4 linked regions of the Anolis sagrei genome follow. The protein of the gene in region 1 interacts with the protein of each later gene in a pairwise test. Links are inferred from orthologs where the notes say so. Each region holds a gene or a part of one and is shown in the gene's direction. Other genes may lie near its edges.

Region 1 (7,213 bases):
AACTCCTAGAAAGCTCACCCATAATGAGTTATGGGAAGGAATTCTGGGAAATGAAGTCCAGTATTCAAAGAAAGGACAAAAACAGGGAAGGCACGCACTGTGAATTAGGAAAGGCTGTCCAGGAAGACACAATCAAAACACTCCCAAAAGATGGCCATCCATTTTTACTTTATAGCAACCCTGGGCTATAATATCTACAATAATAATGTCTATATATCTATCATAATATTATCTATACGTCTATAATAATATATATATGTCTATGGTATCTATATGTCTGTAACAATAATATCTACAAGTCTATAACAATATCTGTACGTCTGTAATAATAATGTCTATATGCCCATAATAATATCTGTAGGTCTATAATAACATCCATATGTCTATAATATTATCTATCTGTCAATAATATCTATACATCTATAATAATAATACCTGTCTGCCTATATCCGTGACTATAATAATAATAATAATATCTATATAGGTATAATATAGGTATATGTATACATCTATAATAATAGCTATATAATATCTATAATAATAGTAATATCTATATGCCTATAATAATATCTATCGGTCTGTAATAATATCCATACATCTGTTGCCCATTTTTGCTCAAAAAATATTTAGCCCTGTGCTCCTTCTATTTTTTACTAGTTTTCTACTAATTTATGCAATGCTTTTGATATGAAATAAATAAATAAATAACATCTATAATAATAATACCTATATGCCTCATAACGCGTGGCTGGGTACAGCTAGTCAGACTATAAAACTGTATTTCAACTTTTTTTCTAGACTGGATTAAACCACATAGGTTTTTGATGTATTTGCATACCGCCTCTGCAGCCCTTAGGGAAGAGCAATGTCAGTACATGCCACGCAGCAGGTGCAAGAGGTGGTAAACTCATGTATTTTTTCACCAGGTGCACTTATTTAATTGTTGCTTGGGAAAATATATTGAAACTATGGTTGACCAAAATGCTTACACCCTAACCCTTAAAGCAAGATGAGGGAGCTACGCACACTGATTCAGACAAATTTCTACAGTAAAAGAGGGTGCTGCTCAGCTGTACACATAAATAAAAATGTTATGGATCTGTTTCATTTCTTTTGATGGCAACACATGCAAGGCAACCTCTAAATATGAATAGCAAGTAGATGCTGAAGAAGCATAGCAGATATTGTCATGATCTGTGGGGGAGGGGAAAGCTGATGGATATGTCAAAAACGTAAAAAAATGTTATTCTCTTCCCATAACATATACTGTTGAAGGTGTTTCTTCAACAGTATATTTTCCACTGGACAATGCCTAGTCATTTGAAAAATCATGTTATCATCTTTTTTCTCTTTAAAAATGAGCCTATATCGAAGCCAGCAAGGTTCCTCATTACTCAATTGTCCAATGCTTTCACTCTATCTGTAAGGTGTTTTGTGGGATTTTTTTTTTAAAAAAGTCAGGGCATAAATGTGTAAACAAAGATTTTTTTTTTGGTCGTGTCAGGAGCGACTTGAGAAACTGCAAGTCGCTTCTGCTGTGAGAGAATTGGCCGTCTGCAAGGACGTTGCCCAGGGGACGCCCGGATGATTTGATGTTTTTATCATCCTTGTGGGAGGCTTCTCTCATGTCCCTGCATGAGGAGCTGGAGTTGATAGAGGGAGCTCATTCGCCTCTTCCCGGATTTGAACCTGCGACCTGTCGGTCTTCAGTCCTGCCAGCACAGGGGTTTAACCCACTGCGCCACCGGGGGCTCCTAACAAAGATTATTAATATTATTATATATATACTCTACTTTATATTTCCCAGAGGGGACTCAATATATTCATAAGCAAGCATCCTGTAAAACCAGGAACGGGGAACCTTACACTGAGATGCCAGACCTTCTCGTTCCAATTTTAGTATATGTGCTGCCGAAGCGAGCACGCCAGACCTTCTCCAGGAGATCTTTATGCAGTGGTTTCCTAGATTTTGCAATGGGTTGCCATTTCCAAATGTACTGGCTCTCACACACAAATGAGCCAAGAGTGCATTGTGTGCACAGTAGTGATGCATTCAGACACCATGTGAAATAAATGTCTCCCTACCTTGTTTCCATCCTATGGGATCCTTGTGTCTGTAGTCTAGTTTAGCCTGAAGCTAAACTCTTCGCTGGACAGCTCCATTTAACTCATCTGAACTACAAACCTAGATCTCTCTATTGCAGCAAATTCCAGAGAAATCCCAGTCATGGCAGTCAAAGTGGACTCAAACAGAGTTAGTGCTTCCCTAAGATGCCTCTAACAAGGAGATGCTCATGATAATGTTTTTATGGTTTTGTACAATTTTTATATTTTACACAAATGTTTTTCACAATATTTGATGAGACATCAAATGTTGCCAACTGTGAACCGCCCTGAGTCGGTAAATAAATAAATAAATCTAAACAGTGGCTTTAATGCAGTTTGACACCACAAGTGCCATGGCACAATGAGATGGAATTGTGGAAGCTGTAGTTTTGTTGTTGTTCATTCGTTCAGTTGTTTCCGACTCTTCGTGACTTCATGGACCAGTCTACGCCAGAGCTCCCTGTTGGTCTCCACCACCCCCAGTTCCTTCAAGGTCAATCCAGTCACTTCAAGGATACCATCCATCCATCTTGCCCTTGGTCGGCCCCTATTCCTTTTTCCTTCCATTTTCCCCAGCATCATACTCTTCATATTCATCATACCACAGTTCAAAAGCATCTATCTTCCTTCGCTCAGCCTTCCCTATGGTCCAGCTCTCACATCCGTAGATGACTATGGGGAATACCATTGCTTTAACTATGCAGATTTTGTTGCCAGTGTGATGTCTCTACTCTTCACTATTTTATCTTGAGCTTGTTTGGAGGGTCTAGCAGGGGAGTGCAGCTATCGTAAACCCGGGACTGAAGACTGGAGACCTCGGTACACTCCTTCTATACCTGGGACGTTGTCCTCTTCCACCGAGCGCACAGCGGTGAGGGAGGAAGGGGACACCCGCCTAGCCAGCCAGATCAGCCGAATCAACCCTGGCAATCAATGGGGTGACAGATGTCGCAGTCAGATCGCCCTCACATCCTCTTGCCCTGACACGACAAAAAACAAAGCAAAACACTATTTTATCTCACCAAACGACATCTCCAATGATTCTGCAGCACTGAGTCATGGGAGTTTAAAGTGGTATCAAGCTGCATCATTCCTACAGTGTAGATGCATGCCCAATAACTTGTTAGTGACAGAAATAACACTCGGCAGCCATGATACTAACAGGAGCGGAGCGCAGGGAGCATACAACTCCTCTGCTGCACCAGCTCCACTGGCTGCCGATTTGCTACCGTGCTCAATTCAAAGTGCTGGCGTTGGCCTATAAAGCCCTAAATGGTTCTGGCCCAAGCTACCTATCCGAACGTATCTCTGCCTATGAACCCACCAGGACTCTAAGATCTTCTGGGGAGGCCCTGCTCTCAATCCCGCCTGCATCACAAGCATGGCTGGCGGGGACGAGGGACAGGGCTTTCTCTGTGGTGGCCCCTCGGCTGTGGAACACCCTTCCCATGGACATTAGATCAGCTCCTACGTTAATCGTGTTTCGAAGAAAACTAAAAACCTGGCTGTTTGAACAGGCATTCGGATAAACAGTGCAATGAATACGATGAATATAGGAACGGAATTATAGACGACAAATTGGATCACGATTCTAGTTACGAGACGTTAATGTGTTGTTATTGATGTGTCATTACTTTGTATATTATGCTCTTAATGGTTTTTAAATTGTATATTGTTATGATTGTCTTTTTGCTCTTGTTGTGAACCGCGTTGAGTTGCCTATGGGCTGAGAAACTGCGGTATACAAAGTAAGTAAGTAAATAAATAAATAAATAAAAAGACACTTGCAACTCAGTCCTACACTTATATAGAAATAGAGAAATACAAATATGTTCACCGTCTCAAGCTTCGTTTTAAAACCGGCCTAAAATCAGAAGCAAGGAAGGGACAACTTGAAGTAAAGCACTAAGCCAGCGCTTTCGATCAGGGTAGTAAGCCACTGCGCATGCGCGCGCGCCTCTTGGCGGGCCCAGGCGCCCAAATGCAGCCCGTGCGTCAAAGCCCCGAGCGCCGCTCTCATTGGCCGGGCCGAGCAGAAGCGAGGCGCACCAAAACATCGCGGGGAGGGACCAATCGCCAAGCCTGGCGCCGAGTTCTCGAGAGAGTTCGCCTGAAGCTGGCACCGCCATGTTGGAGTAGGGAGAGGCCACATCCCGCTGATGTCGTCCTTTAGGGTTTACCAATGTTTATTATTTTTTCAGAGAAGGACGCTAAGGCCCCGCTGAGGCCCTAAGGGCAGGGCGGCGCGGCCTATCCTCCTGTTGGCCCATTCCTGCCGAAAACGGGAGCAAAGCGGTGGCGGCCGAGGATCCGTGGCGAACGGCAACGAGAGGATGGTGCAGTCCTGCTCTGCCTACCGTTGCCGGAATCGATACGACAAAGAGAAGCCTATCTCTTTCCACAAGTGAGTGGGAGGGGCGGGGGCAGGAGAGCTCGCAAGGAGAGAGAGAGAGCGAGCTGTCCTGCCTTGAAAGGGAGGCGGAGCCAGAGCGCATGCGTGGACGAGTGCGCGCGCACGCTCCTTAGAGAGGGAGGGGGGTGCCTCAAAAAAAGGTCTCTAAGCAAAGAAAGCAAGGCTGGGGTAGTCGCGCGCGCACGCACGCACGCGCACCCCCTCTTTTTTTTCTCTCCCTCGCGCGCGCAGGCTTTCAACAGAACCGTTGGGACTGAGGCTTGACTTTGAGGCCTTGGAACGCGCGCCCGTTTCAACCGTCGCCTGACTGACAGTGACGTCGGAGGGCTGTCATTTTGTTTTCAAACTGGTCAAACGGAATAGTCTCTTGGTCATGTTGCTTCAAAGCTCCATTTGTTTTAGATATTTGGCCAACTGTCAGAAATTCATGCAGGTGAAGTCCAAAACACCTGGAAAAATCAGGCATAATGGCAATCATGGACTCATTCCTTATCAGGATAAGCCCTAAAAAAGGTGAAGGGCAAAATATGTACATGTCGCATGTGTGATATATTGTGGGATGTTAGGGGATTTCATGGTGTAAAATGAAGGCACCATCCATGACATCGGTGGACTTGTTGGTAGTCATTCAAGTATTTATTTCATGTCAAAAGCATTGCATAAATTAGTATAAAACTGATAAAAATAGAAGGAACGCAAGCAGCTAAATATGTTTTGACCTTACTTACTTAGGCAATCCCTCATAGTCCGAGGATGATGGTCCTCCAAGGTTGGTGGGTCTGTAGGTGACTGTGGAGCCCGATTCTTGACATGCATCTTCTCCCGCAGTGAGGGCATTGGTGGAAGACTGTCCCGGTTGGGGTTGGCTTGACGCACCTTCCTCTTGGCACGTTTCTCTCTTTCACCCTCCATTCGTGCCTCTTCAAATTCTACAGCACTGCTGGTCACAGCTGACCTCCAGCTGGAGTGCTCAAGGGCCAGGGCTTCCCAGTTCTCGTTGTCTATGCCAAAGTTTTTAAGGTTGGCTTTTATTTATTTATTTATGTATTTACTGCGCTTATATACCGCAATTCTCAGCCCAAGGGCGACTCATTGCGGTGTACAACATGAAAAAACAAGTGCAAATTACAAAACATAGTGCAAAATAATCTACAATTCATCATTATCAGAAAAACATCTTATCAAAACATCAACATTACTACCAAATTTCTACTACATTCCGAATCGTCTCATCGTCAACCCACAATCCGATATCATTTCCGTTGTTCCATTCCTATGGTCAAATTACCAGTCATTGCACTTCTTGGTCAAATGCCTTCTTAAATAGCCAGGTCTTTAACTTCCTGTGGAATATCAACAGGGAGGGGGGTAGCCTGATGTCCACGGGAATGGTGTTCCACAGCCGAGGAGCCACCACCGAGAAGGCCCTATCTCTCGTCCCCGCCAGCCGTGCCTGTGACGCAGGCGGGATCGAGAGCAGGGCCTCCCCGGAAGATCTCAAAGCTTTGAGCCCATCTTTAAATCTCTTTTCCTGTCCACCAACATTTTGTTTTCCGTTTTTGAGTTCAGAGTAGAGCAACTGCTTTGGGAGACAGTGGTCTGGCATCCAGACAATGTGGCCAATCCAGCGGAGTTGATGGTGGAGGACCATTGCTTCATTGGTGGTGGTCTTTGCTTCTTCGAGCACACTGACATTTGTCCGCTTGTCTTCCCAAGAGATTTGTAGAATTTTTTGGAAGCAGCGCTGGTGGAATCATTCGAGGAGTTGCATGTGACATCTGTAGATAGCCCACGTGTCGCAGGTTTATAGCAGGGTTGGGAGGACAATAGCTTTATAAACAAGCACCTTGGTATCCTTATGGATATTCCATCCTCAAACACTCTCTGCTTCATTCAGAAAAATGCTGTATTCGCAGAGCTCAGGTGGTGGTGTATATAAGTGTCAATGTTGACTTTTGTGGTGGCTTTTGTGGTGACAATTTCCGCTGCCAAGGTAGCGGAAATGGTCAACATTTTCTAATATTACACCATTAAGCTGTATCTCTGGTATTGGAGAGGGATTGACTGGTGACTGCTGGAAGAGCACTTTGGTTTTCTCGATGTTTTGACCAAAAACGGGCAACACCAATGGCATTGTCTGTGTTGTTGTTGTTTATTCGTTCAGTCGGTTCTGACTCTTCGTGACCTCCTGGACCAGCCCACGCCAGAACTCCCTGTCAGCCGTCACCACCCTCAGTTCCTTCAGAGTCAAGTCAGACACTTCAAGGATGCCATCCATCCATCTTGCCCTTGGTCCACCCCTCTTCCTTTTTTCTTCCATTTTCCCCAGCATCATTGCTTTCTCTAAGTTTTCCTGTCTTCTCATGATGTGGCCAAAGTACTTCATCTTTGCCTCTAATATCCTGCCCTCCAAGGAGCAGTCGGGCTTTATTTCCTGGATTATGGACTTGTTGGATCTTCTCGCTGTCCAAGGCACTCTCAGAACTTTTCTCCAACACCACAGTTCAAAAGCATCTATCTTCCTTCACTCAGTTTTCCCTGTGGTCCAGCTCTCACATCCATAGGTTACTACAGGGAATACCATTGCTTTAACTATGCGGATCTTTGTTGCCAGTGTGATGTCTCTACTCTTCATTATTTTATCGAGATAGGTCATTGCTCTCCTCCCAAGAAGTAAGTGTCTTCTGATTTCCT
Region 2 (7,028 bases), on another chromosome or scaffold:
GAGTATATACGGTATATGGCAGCGTGGATTCAGCCTGGAGGGGACGTGGTTTTAAAAAGGGAATTTTCAGATATTTCCCCAATGCCCATATGTCATGATTTACTGCCATATTGGCCTATTTCTGCAGTAGGCCTATGTTCACAGAAAATGGTGATTGCTTGAGAAATCAGTGCTCCAAAGAAGAAGTTACTATTCAAGAATAACAGTATATCCGGAGAAAACCAGCTAGCTGATGGCTAGTTAGAACCCCCAAATTTCCAAGTTGCTCTGGAGTCATGTTTGCAACAGACTAACAGATAAGATACAGTCATGGTCAGAGAACAATGGACTATAGTCATGTTATAGTTGTGCCATTGTTAGGATCCCACGTGTGTTATAATGTCAATAAAAATCATAAACAACTAATGAACAACTGTATAACTAACTTAGACCAATGAAATGATTTGTCTTTGGGAACCAATGAAAATGTATATTCCATTTACTATAACTGCTCTGCAGCCCCATTGGGGGTTGCGACAAACCCTTTGATTGCATCCCTGTATGCTTGTTTGTCGTTATTGCTATGGCCACGCAATAAATAGTTTTTGCAGTTTAAAAGGTTCAACTTTCGTGGTGTCCATCCTTGCCCTCCCTATTAGAAAGGGGGCTTCTGCCTTTTGGGGAAATATTCTGGTTTCGTTGCCCCTACAAGCCTAGGACACAAAGCAATGGATTTAAACTGTAGGGGAAAAGATGCCACCAAAACATTAGGTAGAACTTCCTGACTGCAAGAGCTGCTCGGCAGTGGACTGTGCTGCTTTGGAGTGTGATTGAGTCTTCTTCTCTAGAGGTTTTTAAAGAGAGGCAGGATGGCCATCTGTCAGGAGTGTTTCATAGTGTGTTCCTGCCTGGCAGGGGGTTGGACTGGATGGCACTTGTGGCCTCTCCCAACTCTAGGATGCTATGAAATAAAGTATAAATGACAACTATAAGCGTTACAACCAGTTTGTTCTCCAGAAACCTTAAACTCAAGCCGTGTTCGCCATTTTGTATCCTCATCACAACAACCCTGTGAGGTAGGCCGAGGCGGGGCCCAAACAAAGCGAAGCCTTGCCACAGGCACTCTCTGCCCTGCCATTACCCGGCTTTCTGAGGGAGGGGGTCCGCCACTTTTCCCCGGCCCTCCGGTGCCCGAGAAGCCCCCAGGAGACGAAGAGGAGGCAAAGCCGCCGGGCAACGGGGCCAGCGCCACGCAACTTCGGAAGCTTTTGAGGAAAACGCGATTCCCTCCCACCTTGGAAGCCGCCATGATGGTTTGTGACAGCTCACGCATGCGCAAAGGATAGGAAGAGGAGGAGCGTCGGGCTGAAGCTGCTGACGCATGCGTAAAGGAAAGGAGGGCTTGGAGAGCCGCTTTCTCGGCAGCTGACGCATGTGCAAAGGAAATGGTGTTGCTAGTGGGGGGGGGGGGGGGCGAGGTCCTCGGCAACTCACGCATGCGCAGTGAAAAAAAGGGATGTTTATCAGAAGTCCTGTGTCTGGTTGTGATCCCCAGGTTGTGCCAGTCAGCTTTCGTATGATGTTGTTTCTAGTGCCCACTTTTTGCTTGATGTTCAGGCAGTGCTTCTTGTAGGTCAGAGCATGGTCCAAAGCGACTCCCAGGTATTTGGGTGTGCTGCAATGCTCCAGTGGGATTCCTTCCCAGGTAATCTTCAGAGCTTCTTAAGGTGAAAGGCGCATGTCTGTGTTTTAGATGGATTAGGGATCAGTTGGTTTTCCCTGTAATAGGCAGTAAGAGCACCTAGAGCTTTGGTGAGCTTCTTTTCAACCATCTCAAAGCTCCCTGCTTGAGTGGTAATGGCATGATCATCAGCATAGATTTATTTATTTATTTACCTTACTTATATACTGCTGTTCTCAGCCCGAAGGCGACTCACAGCGGTTCACAACAAATACGAACAGCAAAAATTCAGTGCTACAGTATAGAAACAGTTAACAACCTAACACATTACACAATTAATAAACAGTTACTACAATACCCATTCACTGTCGTCTTGTCATCAAAAACATGTTCCGGATTCGTCATCCATTGTTCCATTCCAGTGTTCATTAACCAATCATTGCACTAATTATTCGAACGCCTGCTCAAACAGCCAGGTCTTCACCTTTTTGCGGAATACCATTAGAGATGGTGCTAGTCTAATATCCGCAGGAAGGGCGTTCCACAGCCGAGGAGCCACCACCGAGAAGGCCCTATCTCTCGTCCCCACCAGCCGAGCTTGAGAAGCAGGCGGGATCGAGAGCAGGGTCTCCCCGGAAGATCTCAAAGTCCTGGTAGGTTCATAGGCAGAGATGCGATCAGATAGGTAGCTTGGGCCGGAACCGTTTAGGGGTTTAAAGGCCAACGCCAGCACTTTGAATTCAGCCCGGTAGCAGATCGGTAGCCAGTGGAGTTGGCGCAACAGGGGGGTTGTATGCTTCCAGCGCTCCGCTCCTGTTAAAATCATGGCTGCCGAGCGTTGGACTAGTTGGAGCTTCCGAGCTGTCTTCAAAGGCAACCCCACGTAGAGAGCGTTGCAGTAGTCTAAACGGGATGTAACCAGAAACTCTCTGTCCCTTCTGGCAGTGGCTGGTCATTTGTGTAGATGTTGAACATGGATGGAGCAAGCACGCTCCCCTGAAGCAGGCCGTTCTTCTTTCATACGAAAGCTGACTGGCACAACCTGGGGATCACAACCAGACACAGTGAAGACATCTACCCTTGCGCTATGCTACTCTGCTGCTGAGTACGCATGCCCAGTGTGGAACACATCTCACCACACTAAAACAGTAGATGTGGCTCTGAATGAGACATGCCGCATTATCACGGGGTGTCTGCGCCCTACACCACTGGAGAAATTACACTGCTTAGCCGGTATTGCACCACCTGACATCCGCCGGGAAGTAGCAGCCAATAGTGAAAGGACCAAGGCAGAGACATCTCCAGCTCATCCCGTTTGGGTATCAGCCAGCACGTCAATGACTTAAATCTAGAAATAGTTTTCTAAGATCTACAGAGACACTTGCTGGAACACCTCAGCAAGCGAGAGTCCAAAGTGGCAGGCTCAAACCCAGAACCTCAACCAATGGCTGATACCAAATGAGAGACCCCCCCTGGGCACACAGAGGACTGGGCGACTTGGAAGGCGCTGAACAGACTGCGTTCTGGCACCACGAGATGCAGAGCCAACCTTAAGAAATGGGGATACAAAGTGGAATCCATGACATGCGAGAGGAGGAAACCACTGACCACCTGCTGCAATGCAACCTGAGCCCTGCCACATGCACAATGGAGGACCTTCTTGCAGCAACACCAGAGGCACTCCCAAGTGGCCAGATACTGGTCAAAGGATATTTAAGCAACTACCAAACTGACAAGTTTTGTATTTTGTCTGTTTGTTTGCTTTGTTCTGTTAGAAATGTAATATAATGGACTGGTTGCTCTGACACGACAAATAAATAAATAGTACAGATATGCTGCATTCTCACAAGACACTGAATTAGAAGTCACCATAAGATTTATATCTGTGGTTCCCAATTTAACTAATTTTACACACACCAGCTGCTATATAAATATACTGCATTCCTTTTCTACACCAAGAAATCTAGACTATACTGGTCAAAGGACATTTAATCAACTACCAAACTCACAAATTGTGTATTTTGTCTGTTTGTTAGAAATGTAATATAATTTGACTGGTTGTCCTGACACGACAGATAAATAAATAGCCATTCACTCATGCGCAAAGACAAATCTGGCCTATCCCTGGAGTTGTTTGGCGATTTACGCGTGCGCAGAAACCAAAGAGTAATCCCTCGGCCATTCACGCATGCGTGAAGCAAAAAAAAAAGTAGACGAAGGGCCGTTAATAAGTCAACGCCGGTTTCTCGCAACTCGCGCATGCGCAGAGAAAAGTGGGCGGGCTCACGAGGCCGAACCCGATTTCCTTGGCAACAGGCTTTCAAAAAAGGATCCCCCAAACAAGCGAGGGCGGGTGTTGGTGTTGCTTTACGGCACTGTCGCGCGAGAGAAGGAGTGTTCGTCTCCTCCGCCTGGAAAGTGCCTGTCAGGGAAAGAGGGCGAGTGCGCATGCGTGTTGGGAGCCAGACTGCTTGGGTCGGGATAAAAGTAGAAGCAGGAGCCGGAGGAGGATCTCATCTCCCTGGGGCGCCGGAGGAGAGCCCTGGGATGGCGGCTGCGGTGGGAGGGGCTCTGAGGAGCCCGTCTGCCTGCTTTTGGGGCCCGTGCTGACAGGAGAGAGCGTGGGGACGGCGGGGAAGGTAAGAGGGAAAGCCCCGGCTGACGTACTTTGTGAGAACTGCATGCATTTGAAGGGGATTTAGTCTCACAGTGTTTTCTGTTGGTCATGGGAGTTCTGTGTGGCAAGTCTGGCCCAATTCTGTCGTTTGTGGGACTCCAAATGCTCTGATTGTGGGTGAACTATAAATCCCAGCAAACTACAACTCCCAAATGTCAAGCTCTATTTTTCCCAAACTCCACCAGTCTTCACATTTGGGCGTGCTGAGTATCCATGCCAAGTTTGGTCCAGATCCATCATTGTTTGACTCCACAGTGCTCTCTGGATGTAGGGGAACTACAACTCCAAAACTCAAGGACAATGTCCACCAAACCCTTCCAGTATTTTCTGTTGGTCATGGGAGTTCCGTGTGGGAAGTTTGGCCCAATTCTGTCGTTTGTGGGACTCCGAATGCTCTGATTTTGGGTGAACTATAAATCCCAGAAAACTACAACTCCCAAATGTCAAGGTCTGATTTCCCCAAACTCCACCAGTGTATACATTTGAGTATACATGCCAAGTTTGGTCCAGATCCACCATTGTTTGAGTCCACAGTGCTCTCTGGATGTAGGTGAACTACAACTCCAAAAGTCAAGGTCAATGTCCACCAAACCCTTCCAGTATTTTCTGTTTGGGAGTTCTGTGTGCCAAGTTTGGTTCAATTCCATCATTGGTGGAGTTCAGAATGCTCTTTGATTATAGGTGAACTATAAATCCTAGCCCCAGTGGCGCAGTGGGTTAAACCACTGAGCTGCTAAGCTTGTTGACCGAAAGGTAGCAGGTTCGAATCCAGGGAGCGGCGTGAGTTTCCGCTGTCAGCCCTAGCTTCTGCCAACCTAGAACTTTGAAAACATGCAAATGTGAGTAGATCAATAGGCACTGCTCCAGCGGGAAGGTAACGGTGCTACATGCAGTCATGCTGGCCACATGACCTAGGAGGTGTCTATGGACAACGCCGGCTCTTCGGCTTAGAAATGGAGCTGAGCACCACCACCCCAGAGTCAGACATGACTGGACTTAATGTCAGGGGACAACCTTTACTTTACTTATAAATCCTAGCAACTACAACTCCCAATTGGCAAAATCTATTTTCCCCAAACTCCACCAGTGTTCACATTTGGGCATATTGAGTATTTGTGCCAGAGTTTGGTCCAGATCCATCATTGTTTGAGTCCACAGTAGGTGAACTACAACTCCAAAACTCAAGGTCAATGCCCACGAAACCCTTCCAGTATTTTCTGTTTGGGAGTTCTGTGTGTCAAGTTTGGTTCAATTCCATCATTTGTGGAGTTCAGAATGCTATTTGATTGTAGGTGAACTATAAATCCCAGCAACTACAACTCCCAAATGACGAAATCAAACCCCCCCCAACCCCACCAGTATTCAGATTTGGGCATATCAGGTATTTGTGCCAAATTTGGTCTGGAGAAGGAAAATACATCCCGCATATCAGATATTTACATTACGATTCATAACAGTAGCAAAATTACAGTTACGAAGTAGCAATGAAAATAATTTTATGGTTGGTGGGGTCACCACAACATGAGGAACTATATTAAGGGGTCACGGTATCACGAAGGTTGAGAACCACTGGTATAAAGGGAAATGAGGGGTTTGCCTCATTTAATGGAAAATAAAGGGGGGGGTTCATCTATAAGTAAGTGTAAAGGGAAATAAAGAGGGGCTGCATCTACTCCTGCACTAGGAAGGAAAATAAGGGGTGGTCATCTAGTATGAAGGGAAATAAAGTGTTAATCTATTAGTGTAAAGGGAAATAAAAAGGGGGTTCATCTAATATAAAGGAAAATAAAGAAAGGGTTGTTGTCGAAGACTTTCATGGCCGGGATCAATGGGTTGCTGTGAATTTTCCAGGCTGTTGGGCCATGCTCCAGAAGCATTCTCTCCTGACGTTTTGCCCACATCTATGGCATGCATCCTCAGAGGTTGAAGAATCTGTTGGAAGCTAGGCAAATGAAGTTTATATATCTGTGGAATGTCCAGGGCGGGAGAAAAAACTCTTGCCTGCTTGAGGCAGGTGTGAATGCTGCAATTGTCACCTTGATTAATGGTCTTGCAGCTTCAAAGCTTGGCTGATTGCTTCCAGAGGGGGGATCCTTTGTTGGGAGGTGTTAGCTGGCCCTGATTGTTTCCTGTCTGGAATTCCCCTGCTTTTTGAATGTTGGTTCTTTATTTACTAAAATCTAAAATCAGGACAGTAAATTTTTTATTTATTTATTTGTCGTGTCAGGGCAACCAGTCAATTATATTACATTATTACATTACATTATTACATTATTATTATTATTATTATTATTATTATTATTATTACAGTAAATAAAGACCAGCACTCAATGCTCAAAAAGCATATATTTGTATAAAGGGAGTGCACCTATTAGTATTATTTATTTTTATTTATAAAGTATTTCTACCCCGTCTCTTCTCTACTCAGGACGGCTTACAAAGTGTTCATCTATTAGTATAAAGGGGCTGCATTTATTAGTATAAAGGGGGTGCATGCATTAGTATAAAGGGGTCCATCTGTTAGTATAAAGTGTTAATCTATTAGTATAAAGGGGGAGGGGCATCCATTAGCATAAAGAGGGTTCAACTATCAGTATAAAGGGTGCATCCATTAGTATAAAGGAAGCATTATATTGTCGAAGGCTTTCATGGCCGGAATCACTGGGTTGTTGTAGGTTTTGTAGGTACCTC
Region 3 (7,783 bases), on another chromosome or scaffold:
CCATTACCCAGAGGATCTTTTCATCAGCTACCCCAAGACTGTGGAATGACCTGCCGGAAGAGCTCCAACAGCTAAATCAGCCATAAGAATTCAAAACTCAACTGAAGATCTATCTCTTCTGGTAGATCTACCTAATCAATTTAAACTATGAATTTTAAGGTCATGTCTTGTATCTGTTATATTTTAATCTTTGTTATATGTATTTTAATATGCAGATATTGTATATTTTAATATATGTATTGTTATGATGTGTTTTAACTATACTGTGCCCTGCCTTGAGCTGTAAGGAGAGGTGGGCAACAAATAATAATTATATTCATAACTATAAATTAATATTAATTAATACTCACTGTGAATGGTAATTCTAGTGAGGCTGTGCACATAGTTAATCCCTCAAGACAGGATCTTTAGAATTCTGAAATGTTATTTCTATTGTGCCCTATTCCCCCTCTTCTGTTTTGTTATATAGCCTTGCAGACTCCTTATGTAGCTCAGAGAAGATTGCACTTCCTGTATATTTTCAGACAATAACAGCAAATGCTAAGAGCTTACAGATTACAAAGAATTGTGGGATTTAAAAAATATGCATGCTTTCAGCTAACCGTTTATGCATACTTACATATATGGCCCTGGGAGTCCTCCAAGAGCATTAAAACACAAGCAAGTATCTTCTACTATAACTGGTCCCTGAATCTGTAAAAAGATAATACAGTGAAGAAGATATCAGAACTGTAAATTGGATCCACGAATAAAGAACAAGACTACTACTAGTTATGAACTATAGCAAGCTAAAATAAACACTCACCAAGGACTGAGAAAAAACACAAATCCCACTTTATTTGTCAACATCACATGGCCAGACATGAAATTAAAATTAAACCAAAAGATTAATGGTGCCTTAGATATTTATCTGAAATATTGTGTCCCACTCTTAAGCAACTAAAGGCCTACAAAATAATTATTTCTATCATGTAGATTGCATGCAATAGTCACATGTATTTTTTGTCACTCCTGATTATTTAGGTTTTTTTTAACCACAGATCATTTCTATTACATCCTTGCTCAATAAGTACAGAATTTAACGTTAAGAGAGTCAATAACGCCTGTAACAATAATGATAACTTGCAGCTCTCAGCTGAATATGTATCTTATTTTATACATTATGATGAGGTAGTACAACTCTCAAAAGGCTTAAGGATAGCAGTGTATTTTTTAAAGGAAAGGAGATTTTTAATGGCTGTTGGATTTGGGATTCCTACTATTGCTAAGGAATGTCAAAGTTCAGAGAGAAGGACCTGTTTAGCTGCTTCTTGGCACTTCTGGATAGAAATGTCATCAGGCTCCCCTTGGTACTCAGGCACTAGAAAAGGAAAAGTCATGGTTACCACAGAGTAAGAGCTATACAGAATGTAACAAAATAAGGTAGAGACTCACAGTCTATTTTTTTTGCAACCAGTTTGCCGGGAAAGGAATCACCTAGGATCTGAATCACCTGCAAGATAAAGGACCAAATAATCAGTTGGTTTCCACCAGCTTCATGGTCACATCCCCCCTGCAAAGAACAACATCACCTTGTGCCTTTCAAATCTCTGGCAGTAACATTTAACTCTAATGTAGGGGTCCTCAAACTAAGGCCTGAGGGCTGGATACGGCCCTCCAAGGTCATTTACCCGGCCCTCACTCAGGCTCAACCCAAGTCTGAAACTACTTGAAAGCACACAACAACAACAACAACCCTATCTCAACCAAAAGCAGGCCCACACTTCCCATTTAAATACTAATAAATTTATATTTGTTAAAATTGTTCTTCATTTTAATTATTGTATTGCTTTTAAGTGGTTTTTGCATTACAAATAAGATATGTGCAGTGTGCATAGGAATTAATCCATGTTTTTTTCAAATTATAATCCGGCCCTCCAACAGTTTGAGGGACAGTGACCTGGCCCTCTGTTTAAATGTTTGAGGACCCCGATCTAGTACAATGTTTCTAAGGATGAAAAAAAAAGTTTCCCGTAACACTATGTAACAAAATTTGAAAAAAATGTGTATATTCCTGACTTGAAAGTGTTATTTCCTGTTTAATTGTAAAGTGCTTACTTTGGAAGTGGTTGTTATACTCCGTATGGCTGCCACAAACTATGTTGAGTTGGTTGAAACTCTTAGGGAGATATTTATTGAAAAACTATGACGAAATGTGTTGAAGGATGTCCCGCTAAAACAAAACTTTTATATATTGTCGAAGGCTTTCATGGCTGGAATCACTAGGTTCTTGTGGGTTTTTTCGGGCTATAGAGCCATGTTCTAGAGGCATTTCTCCTGACGTTTCACCTGCATCTATGGCAAGCATCCTCAGAGGTAGCAAGCATCCTCAAGCATCCTCTACCTCTGAGGATGCTTGCCATAGATGCAGGCGAAACGTCAGGAGAAATGCCTCTAGAACATGGCTCTATAGCCCGAAAAAACCCACAAGAACCTAGTAAAACTTTTATAGTTGGATAAACTTTTTCCATGTTTTTATAATAAAACCAATGAGGAAATGACATTTATAACCCAGGAACAAACAATTGTGTTGCACAGTATAATTTGTACTTTGTTGCCAGGTGTTTAAAGACAGTAGTAGACAGTGAACATTCATGATATGCAAGGTTGTGGAAGCTTGTGCTCTATCTAAACACCAAACTAGGTTGACTTAGGTTAGTTCTGTAAAATTAACATATTTTAACACAGACTACACAGAGATGCCATTGCAATCCACAAGCATGTGGACAATTTTCAACAAAAGGGAGGAAACCATGAAAATGAGTAAACTCTGGCTGCCAGTATTTAAAAAAAGAACAGAATCAAGACAGCAAATAAAGAATACTAATCAGCAATGGGAATTCCAGACAGACAACAATCAAGTGCCAGTTAACAACACTTCCCAAACAGAGGATGCCTCCAGGTAACAACAGACAGGCTTTGAAGCTGTAAGGCTACTCAATGCTAACCAAGCTTGCCAACTGCAACATTCACACTTGCTTCAACAGACAAGAGTTCTTTCTCCCAGCCTGGACACATTTATATACACTCCACTTGCCTCGTTTCCAAGAGACCTCACAAACTGTTGAAGATGCCTGTCAGGAGAGAATGCTACTAAGGCATTGCCATACTGCCTGAAAACCTCACAGCAACCTAGTGATTTTGGCCATGAACGCCTTCGACAATACATTAGATTTTTACTCACAACTAAAATATTGGGGGGGGGGGGGGGTGACCACTCATCTCACCTCATCCAGTCTATATATCAGAAAAAGCTTTCCAATCTATATAAATAAAAATGTAATGTTCGTTTGGGGGATTACCATAACTCAAAAACCACTGGATGAATTGCTGCCAAATTTGGCCACAAGACATCTACTAACCCAAGGCGTGACCATCACTCAAAAAAAATGATTTTGTCATTTGGGAGTTGTAGTTGCTGGGATTTATAGTTCACCTACAATCAAGGAACATTCTGAACCCTGCCAATGATGGAATTTAACCATACCTAGCACACAGGACTCCCATGACCAACAGAAAATACTGGAAGGGTTTGGTGGGCATTGACCTTGAGTTTGGGAGTTGTAGTTCACCTACATCCAGAGAGCACTGAGGACTCAAACAATGATGGATCTGGACCAATCACAACACAAATACTCAATATGCCCAAATGTGAACACTGGTGGAGTTCGGGGAAAATAGAATCTTGACATATGGGAGTTGTAGTTGCTGGGATTTGTAGTTCACCTATAATCACAAAGCATTCTGAGCCCCACCAACAATAGAATTGGGCCAAACCTCCCACGCAGAACCCCCATGACTACCAGTGGGCCACAGCAACACATGAAATTTAACCATACTTTGCACAAAGTTGTCCCATGACCAACAGAAAACACCAGAAGGGTTTAGTTGGCACTGACCTTGAGTTTGGGAGTTGTAGTTCACCTACATCCAGAGAGCACTGTGGACTCAAACAATGATGGATTTGGACCAAACTTGGCAGAAGCACTCAATATGCCCAAATATGAACACAGATGGAGTTTGGGGAAAATAGACCCTGACATTTGGGAGTTATAGTTACTGGGATTTATAGTTCACCTACAATCAAAGAGCATGCTGAACCCCACCAATGACACAACTGGGCCAAACTTCTCACAAAGAACCCCCACACTTAAGGCCATCCAGTCCAACTCCCTTCACCAGGGCGAGAAAACGTAATCAAAGCCCTCCTCACAAAGACCCATCCAGCCATAGATATAGATAGATATGATTCACACACAGAGAGATATAGTATCATAGATTTGAAAGGGACCCCTGAAGAAGGACAATGATATGTTACATGTTCCAAAGTAGGCAGAGCAGACACTCTCCACATCAACACTGGGAAAGAAACAGCAAGAAGTACTGCTTATCCACAAGCATGAAGACATTACATATATTAGAAACCAACACTTTCTCGTTACTTTATTTTCCAGATCACCAGACTGGGCCACAGCAACGCCTGGCAGGGGCCGGCTAGTCCTTAAATAAATAGCGAGCAAGATTGCCAAGACTAAAATAATTCCTATCTTATCAAAGTGGATAAGGAGTGGAGAGAGAGGTGGGCCCTGCTTCTTCTCACCTCCTCCAGTTTCTTTGCGTTGCCGGTGACAAGCACCACTGTCCTCCCCGCAGACGCCATGACCGCCCATGCGCATGCGCGCGTAGCCGCAGTAGGCACGTGCCCCGCGCTTCGGCCCCGCTACCCGGAAGCACTCGGCCTCTTCCCTCAGTTGGAACTGGGAAGTGAGCATGGCGGAGCTCCGGCTGTTGCCGCGCCGCGCGAAGGACTTTGCCTCGGCCGACTTCTGGGAGCGCTTCTTCCGGGAGCGCGGCGGGAGGGCCTTCGAGTGGTACGGGGCCTGGAAAAGCCTCCGGGCGCCGCTGGGACGGTACTTGCGCCCTCAGGACTCGGTGAGAGCGGCTATAGCAGGCCATAGCGGGCATGGGCACACTTGGACCCACCAGGTGTTTTGGATTCCAATTCCCAACAGCCTCAGGCCCCTTCCTTTCCCCCCTCAGTCGCTTAAGCGGCTGAGGGGGGAAAGGAAGGGGCCTGAGGCTGTTAGGAATGGTGGGAGTTGGAGTCCAAAACGCCTGGAGGGCCCAAGTTTTCTATGCCTTAGCAATAGGAACAGTAGAGGAAATATTGTCGAAGGCTTTCATGGCTGGAATCACTAGGTTCTTGTGGGTTTTTTCGGGCTATAGGGCCATGTTCTAGAGGCATTTCTCCTGACGTTTCGCCTGCATCTATGGCAAGCATAGATGCAGAGGTTGTGAGGTCTGTTGGAAATAGGACAATGGGTTTATATATCTGTGGAATGGCTGGGATGGGGCAAAGAGCTCTTCTCTGCTAGAGCTAGGTGTGAATGTTTCAACTGACCACCTTCATTAGCATTTGAAGGCCTGCCTGAGCCTGGGAAAATCTTTTGTTGAGAGGTGTTAAGATGTGCCTGATTGTTTCCTCTCTGCTGTTTTGCTGGTAGCCAGATTTTGTTCATTTTCATGGTCTCAATTTCAACAGAAAGGAAGAGACCATGAAAATGAACAAAATCTGGCTACCAGTATTAAAAAACTCTAAAATTACAACAGCACAACAGCAGAGAGGAAACAACATTAGTTGGAATGTAAATTTGAATTATAATTGTATTGCTGTGCTTTCCCCAAATTCTGGTTAATATGATTCAGTTAGACTTTGCATTATACACTTTGAGCGTTTTTACTACACTTTGATTTGAGGTGATTAACTCACTCTGTTGGTGTCCAGCAAGCCAGCTCCTTATTTTAAAGGCTGGTTTAGGTGTTAGAATCCCCTTTGCCTAGAAACTTTGGGTCAGATAAAAATAAATAATACTTCACTGCGTACATGAGGGTTTGTGATTTGGAAGGATCAGACATTAATTTTTAGTTACAGAATATCTTTTCTTTATCTACGGTAGTTCTGATAAGTTTTATATTTGGTTTTCAGAAATGGTTTGGTAGAATGGCATGTTTTTTTTACATGGAGTAGTTTTCTGACTATTGTAATACACCATGTGTTTGACAGCTGAAGTTGGCATATAGGGACATTTAAACCTCATGTCTTTATTTATCTACATAACTCGACAATATCAAGCTTCATGGGAATACGAAACTAGAAATAAGAAACGAGCTTTGTCTCATATTGAGTGTGTTTTTACTTTTAAATAAGAAGAGTGTTATTGTATCAGTAAGAATACTCAATATTCTCCTAAGCTGCTTTGTGCTTGTAGCAGGCATTTTTTTTAAAAAAAAATCAGGAAACATGAAAATATCCTTCACCTTCACAGTTACATTTTTGATCCTGTGCAACTTTTGAAAAAATGTTTGTGAGAATATGGGATCGCAAAAGCAAAGCATATCAGTGGAGTTGGTTAGAAAGACCTTGGTGTGTTACGCACTAACTCTTGGGATCTCTGTAGCAGCTACATTTTTGTGTGTGTACTATATAAAGGAAAGCATCGGAAATGTGGAGGTGATATTCTGGTCAATATTTCTTTTCAAGCTTTTTGTCTGATTCTTCTGGAAATTGTTCTGTAAAGCAACCTTTTTGGTTTCCTCAAAATATTCTCTTTTCTTTCCCTCTAGATTCTTGTTGTAGGTTGTGGAAACTCAGAACTGAGCGAGGAACTCTATGATGAGGGTTATCAAGATATCACTAATGTGGACATAAGTGAATTGGTCATCAAACAGATGCAGGAACGCAGTGTTCATCTAAGACCCAAGATGACCTACATGGTTATGGATGTGCTGCAGATGGATTTCCCTGATGGGCACTTTCAAGTGGTGCTGGACAAAGGCACTCTTGATGCTCTGCTGACTGATGCAGAAGAAATCAGCCTGAGAAGGGCTGAAAGAATGTTTGCTGAAATTGGCCGGGTCCTGCGATTTGGGGGCCGTTATCTTTGTGTCTCCTTGGCACAAGCACATGTGTTGAAAGCAGCTGTGGAACATTTCTACCAGCAAGGATGGATGGTTCGAATACATCAAGTCTCCAGCAATGAAACAGACACTTCAGAAGGAGAGTTTGCCCTTCCTGTCTTTGTCTATATTATGACAAAGATAAAGCCTGTCCCAGGCTCAACTCTGTGCATCCTAGAGCTGTGTACTGAAGAACAGCACAAACCTGTCCGATTCAGCAGCACTCAGCATCTGATTGAGGCAGTAGAAGAGAGACAACAGTACTGTTTGTTACGGAGTCAGCTCAGAAGAAATCCCAATGCAGGGACCATCTGTCTTGATCTCTGCAGCAAAGATACTGATACCGGCCAAGTCCGCTATAGTTTACATGTTGTACACAACCCAACCGTGAAAGTGTCCTGTGACAATCAATTTGCCATCTTCATCAGTAAGTTTGTGTGCTCAGGAGCTTGCGTTAAATCCAAACAACCCAAGAAAACATCTTATAGCCTTTTGCCCCCATATACTGCTAATAATGACTAAGGGAATTGGGTATTTCAATTATACTAAAAACAGTTGGGTAGCAATGCTATTGGGTAGCAGTAGTGCAGTTAAGGCTATCTGTTCTAAGACTATATCTGTCTTTGGTAAATTTTCCAAGTACTGGGAAGCAAACTAGCTCTGATATGTCCATCCTTCAGCAGAGATATACATTTACTTTCTTTCTTCTAAATCAGTGATTCCCAACTAGTGGTCCGCAAGAACTAAAATATGGCCTCACTTACTACACAGTTTCAACAAGAGTAAA
Region 4 (7,505 bases), on another chromosome or scaffold:
GCCTTAGTCAAGTGTAGAAGTCACATTTTCAGGATCTAGCTTTAGGGGAGGATTGCAGACAGAGCATCCCATGTGGATAGTACATACATCTTATTGCCTATATGATATAACAAGATTATCATATGCCTCATCAGAGCAAATTATGCAATATCGGATGAAGAGGGAAACTATCACATTGTCTCCCTACTTCCTTATCTCGGACAAGTAAAGATGTTTCTGTTCTGGCTGACATTTGATGTGTGACTATATAAGGTCTTACACAATGTGTTGGATATGACTAATTGTTGTGCCAACATGTGTATGTTTAATGATGAAGTTTTTAATCTGATTATATTTTTTTGTTATTTAATCTTATTTTAACATTAGAATTTTATAGATATTTAGTGATACTTTAAAAATTGTAAGCTGCTTTGAGAGCTTGTATAGTGTAATGATTTAAGCATTGGACTACTACTCTGGAGAGCAGAACTTAATTCTCCGCTGGGCCATTGAAACCCCCTTGGTGAACTTGTGTGAGTCACACACTCCCAGCCTCAGAAAACCTCATTATATGTCTGCCTGGGAGTCACTATAAGTTAAAAATGACTTGAAGGTAAAAACAACAAGCCACTTTAACTTCTGATCAGGGGTTTGTTTGTTTTTTTGGTTGTGTCAGGCAGGCCTGTAGCGAGGGGGTGGTTTTAGGGGTTCAAACCCTCCCCGAAATGTTTCAGATTTTTTAAAAAAACCCTGGTTTACTCATGAATTTTAACTGATTAACCAAAACCCCATGCTAAGTCTATGAGATGCAAAAATTAAGAGTCCCTCCAGAACTGCAAGCCCTATCTCAAGCAAATATTGACAATTTATTCACACTGTCATTACTTGTAGCAATAGCCGATGTAGTGAAGCAACCAAGTTGGGAGTGTGTGTGTTGAATGCTCTCATTAAGGAGGCCAGACTTGGTGGAGGTGGTTGACAGGGGCGGAGCTGCAGGCTATTGAAGGTTGCTCTACCCCTGCTGTGCTCTTTGCTTCAGCGTGAGCTAGGAGGCAGGTTTCAACCCCCCCCCCCGCCGAAATTTTCAACCCTCCCCGAAATTTTCAACACGCCCCCCCCCCCGAAATTGTCAACCCTCCCCGAAATTTTTTTCTGGCTACGGCCCTGGTGTCAGGAACTAGAGCTGATAGAAGGCTCTTATCTGCGCTCTCTCCGGATTTGAACCTGTGACTTGTCGGTCTTCAGTCCTGCCGGCACAGGGGTTTAACGCCCTGATCACTTATCACTGATCAGTGAAAAAGGCAGAATAAAAATTAACAGCAACTACAATAATATTCTCCATTGCCTATAGAGGAGGGCTTATCTAGAGGTGGAAATCATGGTGCCCTCAAAATATTGTGGATCTGGATGTCCTAGCGGTCCTAGCCAGTATAGTTAATGGTGTGGGATGATAGGAGTTGCAATTTAAAAATATTTGCAAGACCATATGATCCCCATCTCTGCACTGAGCCATCATGGTTAATAACCACTGATAGATCAATTTTCCCCTTTTGAGTTTTTCTAAGGCTTGTTTAGACCAATCGATTAGGTGGCCTATGCTAAGGTAAAGTATATGTAACTTTTTTTAGGTTCCAAGAAAATACTGTTTCTGCCAGTCAACATAATTCAAAGTTTATCTTATGACAACAGCCTCCTCTAGTGGAATTCCACATATTATGCTACAGGGTGGTTAATAATAAGCAACACAGTCTGTGCTGGTATGGCTGTACCAGGAGCTCCAACTTTATTTTCTTTCTGTTATCCGTTTTGCAGTCATAGGACAGGCCTCCTGTCCATTATAATTAAGCTTTGGTTCTGCCCCCTGTTCAGGACTCTGGGAGGGAAAGGAGCCATTTTTTGGGCAGTCTCACACAAGGAAGCTAAACTATAGGACGTAGACCTGCTCGTCCCGTAGAAAAGCATCCTTTCTCAAGAACATCCGGGGAAACAGAAATTCCAGGAGAAAGGTCCCAAGGCTCTGGCTGAGAGCTCACAGCCTCTCAGCCTCACAGCATCAGAGGGAAAACAGCCCTGAAGTTTCAAAGAATTCTCGGAGAAAGGACAGCATTACAGATCCACGGAATTCCAGCTTTAATATCTACAAGCCTCGGCTGGTAGGTCTACTCGAAGCCCAGACGCATTTGGAATTGGTAGTAGTACCCACACCAACGAGACATAGATAATAGATAGCCTGGGAGAGGTTAAACAGGGTTTTTTTTCTTATAGAGAAAGTACAGTTAATCAAAGTCAGGTACCAGTTCCTTGAGGACTAGACTAAGAAAGCCTTGAAGTGTTGTTTGAACCATTGAAGATTTGTTGTTTGTTCCTTAATAAAGACTTTGTTATATCTTGAAAGTCTCTAAAGACCATCACTTCAGGAAAAAAACCCTGATACCCTTTCTTTGGAGCACCCCGGCTTCCTACTGGGCTTAAAGTATACATCCTATAGAAAAGACAATTGTTACAGGCCCAGCGCGTGACAGAACATAGTCCAATGCATGTTTCCTTAGAAGTAAGGTTTTTTTGGCTAGCAGTTGTTACTCCAAGTAAACTATATTGGCAGAAAATCTCCTAGAGCATACTTTCCAACTTTCACAGATAAAAAAGGAACCTGATCAAGCAACATCAAAGAAATTCATACCAGCTCCTGATTGGTTGGGAAACAATCTGGCTAGGAACCTTGTCCTAAATAGCTCAGGACTCTGTCCAAGGTCAGTGCTGTTTAGCGCGTGTTGATGGCAAGAAATTCAGTAAACTATCATTGGAACATTTAAAGTATCAGTCTGCTTAATGATCCACCTCCGAGAGGGGCACGATCAAAAGGAATGTGGTGTGGCAAATTGCAAAGAGTCCTTGTTGGGCTTAATAGTCTTGCTCCAGTGCACATAATAGGGTCAGTCCAATGTACATAATAGATATTTGGGGATGATGTCCATTTCAGTAGGTGAAATTGGCTAGGGGCATGGTTGCCAGATCTTTCTCTCAGATAGTCTCAATCTTATCAACAGAAGCAGGAAACACACTACGTTGATTAAGGAGAAATCTCTAACTAACATTAAGAAAGACTGGGGCCCATTTATTGTGTTCCTCCAATAAAGATGGGGCCAAATCTACATCACAGGTTTTTTGGACTAGAAGTGTGTTATTCTATGAGAAAGGATGTACCAATGGTTCCTTTTCACTAAATGGGTGTAGAAAATGGACGGAATATAACCATCAGACAAAATGTAAAGCCCTTAGATTAAATTGTTTGTAGTTATTGCTTTTTTAAAATGTTTAGGATGCAGTAGTATTGTTCTAGAAAAAGTATTTATAATATGTTGTTGATGGGGTTTTTGGGGGGGGGGGTTTGGGGGGGGTCTATGTAGGTTTTGTTTTAATCTGTTTTAATAAAAAAAATTAAAAGTAAGCAGAAAACAATCTTAAATACAGCCATTGAATTATTCCCTCCCCTCCACTTCTCCCAGTACATTGTAAGGGTATTAAGGAAATTACAGGCAGGGGTCTTGGATGTGACCGGACAACATTCCAATAATACTCAGTTCTTGTGGGTTTTTTTCGGGCTATATGGCCATGTTCTAGAGGCATTTCTCCTGACGTTTCGCCTGCATCTATGGCAAGCATCCTCAGAGGTGAGGTCTGCAGGAGCTGGGGAAAAAGGGGTTTATATATCTGTGGAATGACTAGGGTAAGACAAAGGGCTTTTGTAAGTTGGGCTAGGTGTGAATCTTTCCACTGACCACCTTGATTAGCATACAATGGGCTGACAGTGCCTGGAGCAAACTCTTCTTGAAAGGTGACTAGATGTCCCTGCCTGTTTTTCTCTCTGCTGTTTTTGCTGTTGCAATTTTAGAATTTTAAAAATTTCACGGATTTCAGCTGACCACCATAATGCACTAACAAGCCACACCAAGAACAGGCCATCAAATGCTAATCAAGGTGGTCAGTTGAAACATTCGCACCTAGCTCCAGCAGACAAGGGTACTTTGTCCCACCCTGGTCATTCCACAGATATATAACCCCCTTTCCTAGTTCCAACAGACCTCACCACTTCTGAGGATGCTCGCCATAAATGCAGGCGAAACGTCAGGAGAAAATGCCTCTAGAACATGGCCATATAGCTCGAAAAAACCTACAACAACCCAATTTCCTCAGTATTTGCTTTGAACTGCGTTATCTGAGTCCACACTGCCATATATTCCAGTTCAAAGCAGATATTGAGAGATTTCCTGCCTTGATATTCTGGGTTATATGGCTGCGTGGAATGGCCCAGAGTCCATATGAGGGATTCTATTCAGCTGTCTAGAAAGGGCCTCAGACTTCGTATGAATTTGTATTCAGTGCGCATGCGCCCCCAAGTCATGCCCGCCATCTGATCCCTGACAACAGGAAACGCTCTAATCTCCGTAAGAGAGTGTCTGCCGCTCTATCTTTGCTAGCTCTATGCACTTCCCGGCCTCTCTACTTCCGGTCCTCCTGCTCGCTACTTCGCTTACTGAGGTTCCTGGTTGTCTTGAGGGAAGCGGAAGTTTTTTTGTTTTGGTGGCGCTGGGCCTTGTGGGAAGGCCGGCGTCGCCTTGCGCCTGGGGCAGCCCGCGAGGGAGGGAGCGAGCGAGGGAGCGAGGAGGAGAGGCGCGAGATGGCCGTGGAGGCCCCTCCCGTCGCGGTTCAGAACGAGGCCGAAGGGTGCGTATGGTCGTGCGTGGAGAGGAGAGGCCTTGGTGTCAACTGGGCATGAGCTAGGTTTGTCTCTGCAGCCTTTCTGGATAAGAGGAGGTGCTTTCAGGGGAGAGGGAGCGTATCTCCTTGGCCTTTTGTGGTTGGGTTTGTGAAGAAGGAGGAATTGGGCAAGATTTGGGCGCTTTATAAATAGACCATCTTCTGGAGCATTTTGTCTTGGGAGGCCCACTCGATGCCCCTGGCTGGCTAGAGTTGGGATGTTCACAAATAGAGTAAGCCCTGCTCTCGCTGACACGTTTGTATTTTATGTTAATGGCTAATCTGTGGCTAATTAACATGGTCCGTGCCCCGTTTTGCAACTACAGTTTCCTCTCCCTATCTATGCCCAGGGCCCTTCCATACAGAATCTGAGGCCCCTTCCACACACCTGAATAAAATCCCACATTATCTGCTTTGAACTGGAATATATGGCAGTGTGGACTGAGAGCCCTTCTACACAGTCCGATATCCCAGAATATCAAGGCAGAGTGTGGACTCAGATAACACAGTTCAAAGGAGATAATGTGGAATTTTCTGCCTTGATATTCTGGGATGTAGGGCTGTGTGGAAGGGCCCCCAGAATATCAAGGCAGAAAATCCCACAACATCTGCTTTGAACTAGGTTATCTCAGGGCCTTCCACACAGCCCTATATCCTTGGATATCAAGGTGGAAAATCTCACAATATCTGCTTTGAACTGGGTTATCTGAGTCCACATGCAGATAATGTGGGATTTTCTGCCTTGATATCCTGTATCAGATATAAAGTTCTTTAACTATGATATTTATGAGATTCCTTTTTAACACACTTGTGTAATTTGTAAGTTTGTTTTGCTGAGGCTGTAATTCTGCATTCTGTTACACTCAGGATTCTAAAGTTGTTACCCGTTTGTCTTCACCTAACATACTGTGACTAAATAAAAGGGTTGTTAAGATGCTTATTTCATAAATTATTTCAGTTAATTTGAGCAACCATGTTTATTGGCAATGATGTTTAGAAATACTTTTTTTATCTAATAAACAAGACACTAACTCATCTATTTCAATTTTCCACAGAATATTTTCCCAGCTTTTATGAATGATGAAATTCTCGCAAGATTGTGATAATTCATAGAATTGCGTCGAAGCAGTGTGCTCCAAGAAGACTACTTTTTGAGGCTCCTTTTTGCAAATTACATTCTTATTATTCCTTGTATACTTTTACAGTTACTCTGCAAAGATAATTTATATTGCTTTCAATTAGAGAACACTAGAACAGCACAGTTAAAAATGGAATCCTATTTAATGGATTCACATATAATGATAACATTTCACATGCCCTAAAAGACAGAGAACTTACAATCAGTCTTTGAAAGCTGATTTTGAGATGTAGTTAAAATGGTAATTTATTCAAATAGAGGAACAGTTTTCTATCCATGTCTACAAAATAGATAAGCCTATTCTTGCTAGAATCATAACTTTTTAACCATGGCAGCTGCTACAATAGTTCATGATACTTCCGAAGCTGTGGAGCTCTGTGCTCCATATGGACTATTCCTCAAGCCCATTACAAAAATGACGATCAGTGTGGCACTTCCACAGTTAAAGCAACCAGGAAAGTCTATTTCCAATTGGGAAGTGATGGAAAGGCTGAAAGGAATGGTGCAAACACATCAATTCTCAACTTTACGAATTTCCAAAAGCACCATGGATTTCATTCGTTTTGAAGGAGAAGTGGAAAATAAGGGTCTGGTTAAATCCTTCCTTACATGTCTAGATGGCAAAACTATAAAACTAAGTGGTTTTTCGGACATTCTCAAAGTTCGTGCTGCAGAATACAAAATTGATTTTCCTACTCGACATGACTGGGATTCCTTTTTTCGTGATGCAAAAGATATGAATGAAACTCTGCCAGGGGAAAGACCAGACACTATTCATTTGGAGGGTTTGCCTTGTAAATGGTTTGCACTGAAAGACTCTGGCTCAGAAAAACCAAATGAAGAAGTTCTTATTAAAGTGTTTAACAAATTTGGGGAAATTCGTAATGTGGACATTCCCATGTTGGATCCATACAGGGAAGAAATGACTGGAAGAAACTTCCATACATTCAGTTTTGGAGGGCATTTGAATTTTGAAGCTTATGTTCAATATGAGGAATATGCAGGCTTTATCAAGGCTATGAATGCTTTGCGGGGGATGAAGCTAATGTACAAAGGTGAAGATGGCAAAGCAGTGGCTTGCAACATAAAGGTGAAGTATCTGAGCTTTTCCTGGTATATATTTTTAGAGAATGTTAGATGAAATTTTTTGTATGTTTGAAAAAAGCATACAATTTAAGGCTTGTGCAGTTTTCTCTACTGTCACAAATTGGATTAATGTTTCAGTGAGTTGGGGAAATGAGAAACAGTAGCAGTCTCAGCTTTATTTTATGTTTTCACAAATTATTTCCAAGTTTGCAAAAGATTTTCTTACTTTTTCGTAACGGTGTAATCAATGATTATCCAATGAGACTAAACAGGACACAGAAAGGAAGGTAAATTTCCATCTCTTTCAAAGGCAAAAGTACATAACAACCACAAAATGTAATGATGGCTACATATTTGAGTGGCTTTAAAAGGGACATATACCCATGTATAAGTCAACATGTATAAGTTGAGGGGAGATTTTTGAGTTGATTTTTGACCAAAATTTCTAGACTTATAAAGTAAAGGTTTTCCCCAACATTAAGTCTAGTTGTGTCCGATTCTCGAGGGTGGTGCTCATCTCCATTTTTAAGCCAGAGTCAGCTTT

Evidence for each region.
Region 2: the proteins of THAP1 (region 1) and BAG5 interact in binary tests that used the Homo sapiens proteins (3 or more experiments, as listed by UniProt). The two-hybrid records come from large-scale screens. The link is inferred for Anolis sagrei from reciprocal best matches to the Homo sapiens genes THAP1 and BAG5.
Region 3: the proteins of THAP1 (region 1) and METTL13 interact in binary tests that used the Homo sapiens proteins (3 or more experiments, as listed by UniProt). The two-hybrid records come from large-scale screens. The link is inferred for Anolis sagrei from reciprocal best matches to the Homo sapiens genes THAP1 and METTL13.
Region 4: the proteins of THAP1 (region 1) and AKAP17A interact in binary tests that used the Homo sapiens proteins (3 or more experiments, as listed by UniProt). The two-hybrid records come from large-scale screens. The link is inferred for Anolis sagrei from reciprocal best matches to the Homo sapiens genes THAP1 and AKAP17A.

The regions. Positions count from the first base shown.
Region 1 is NC_090022.1:156,694,217-156,701,429, reverse strand, and holds the start of THAP1 (THAP domain-containing protein 1), read left to right. Parts: upstream 1-4,200; 5' UTR 4,201-4,439; coding exon 4,440-4,510; intron 4,511-7,213. UniProt on the Homo sapiens protein: DNA-binding transcription regulator that regulates endothelial cell proliferation and G1/S cell-cycle progression.
Region 2 is NC_090021.1:327,332,370-327,339,397, forward strand, and holds the start of BAG5 (BAG family molecular chaperone regulator 5), read left to right. Parts: upstream 1-4,024; 5' UTR 4,025-4,299; intron 4,300-7,028. Other genes in the region: COA8 (cytochrome c oxidase assembly factor 8), read right to left, coding at 1,121-1,288. UniProt on the Homo sapiens protein: Co-chaperone for HSP/HSP70 proteins. It functions as a nucleotide-exchange factor promoting the release of ADP from HSP70, thereby activating HSP70-mediated protein refolding.
Region 3 is NC_090024.1:130,532,148-130,539,930, reverse strand, and holds the start of METTL13 (eEF1A lysine and N-terminal methyltransferase), read left to right. Parts: upstream 1-4,771; 5' UTR 4,772-4,809; coding exon 4,810-4,971; intron 4,972-6,663; coding exon 6,664-7,423; intron 7,424-7,783. Other genes in the region: ITPA (inosine triphosphate pyrophosphatase), read right to left, coding at 620-693, 1,296-1,360, 1,435-1,492, 4,640-4,699. UniProt on the Homo sapiens protein: Dual methyltransferase that catalyzes methylation of elongation factor 1-alpha (EEF1A1 and EEF1A2) at two different positions, and is therefore involved in the regulation of mRNA translation.
Region 4 is NC_090023.1:98,414,714-98,422,218, reverse strand, and holds the start of AKAP17A (A-kinase anchor protein 17A), read left to right. Parts: upstream 1-4,500; 5' UTR 4,501-4,761; intron 4,762-5,792; 5' UTR 5,793-6,203; coding exon 6,204-6,965; intron 6,966-7,505. UniProt on the Homo sapiens protein: Splice factor regulating alternative splice site selection for certain mRNA precursors. Mediates regulation of pre-mRNA splicing in a PKA-dependent manner.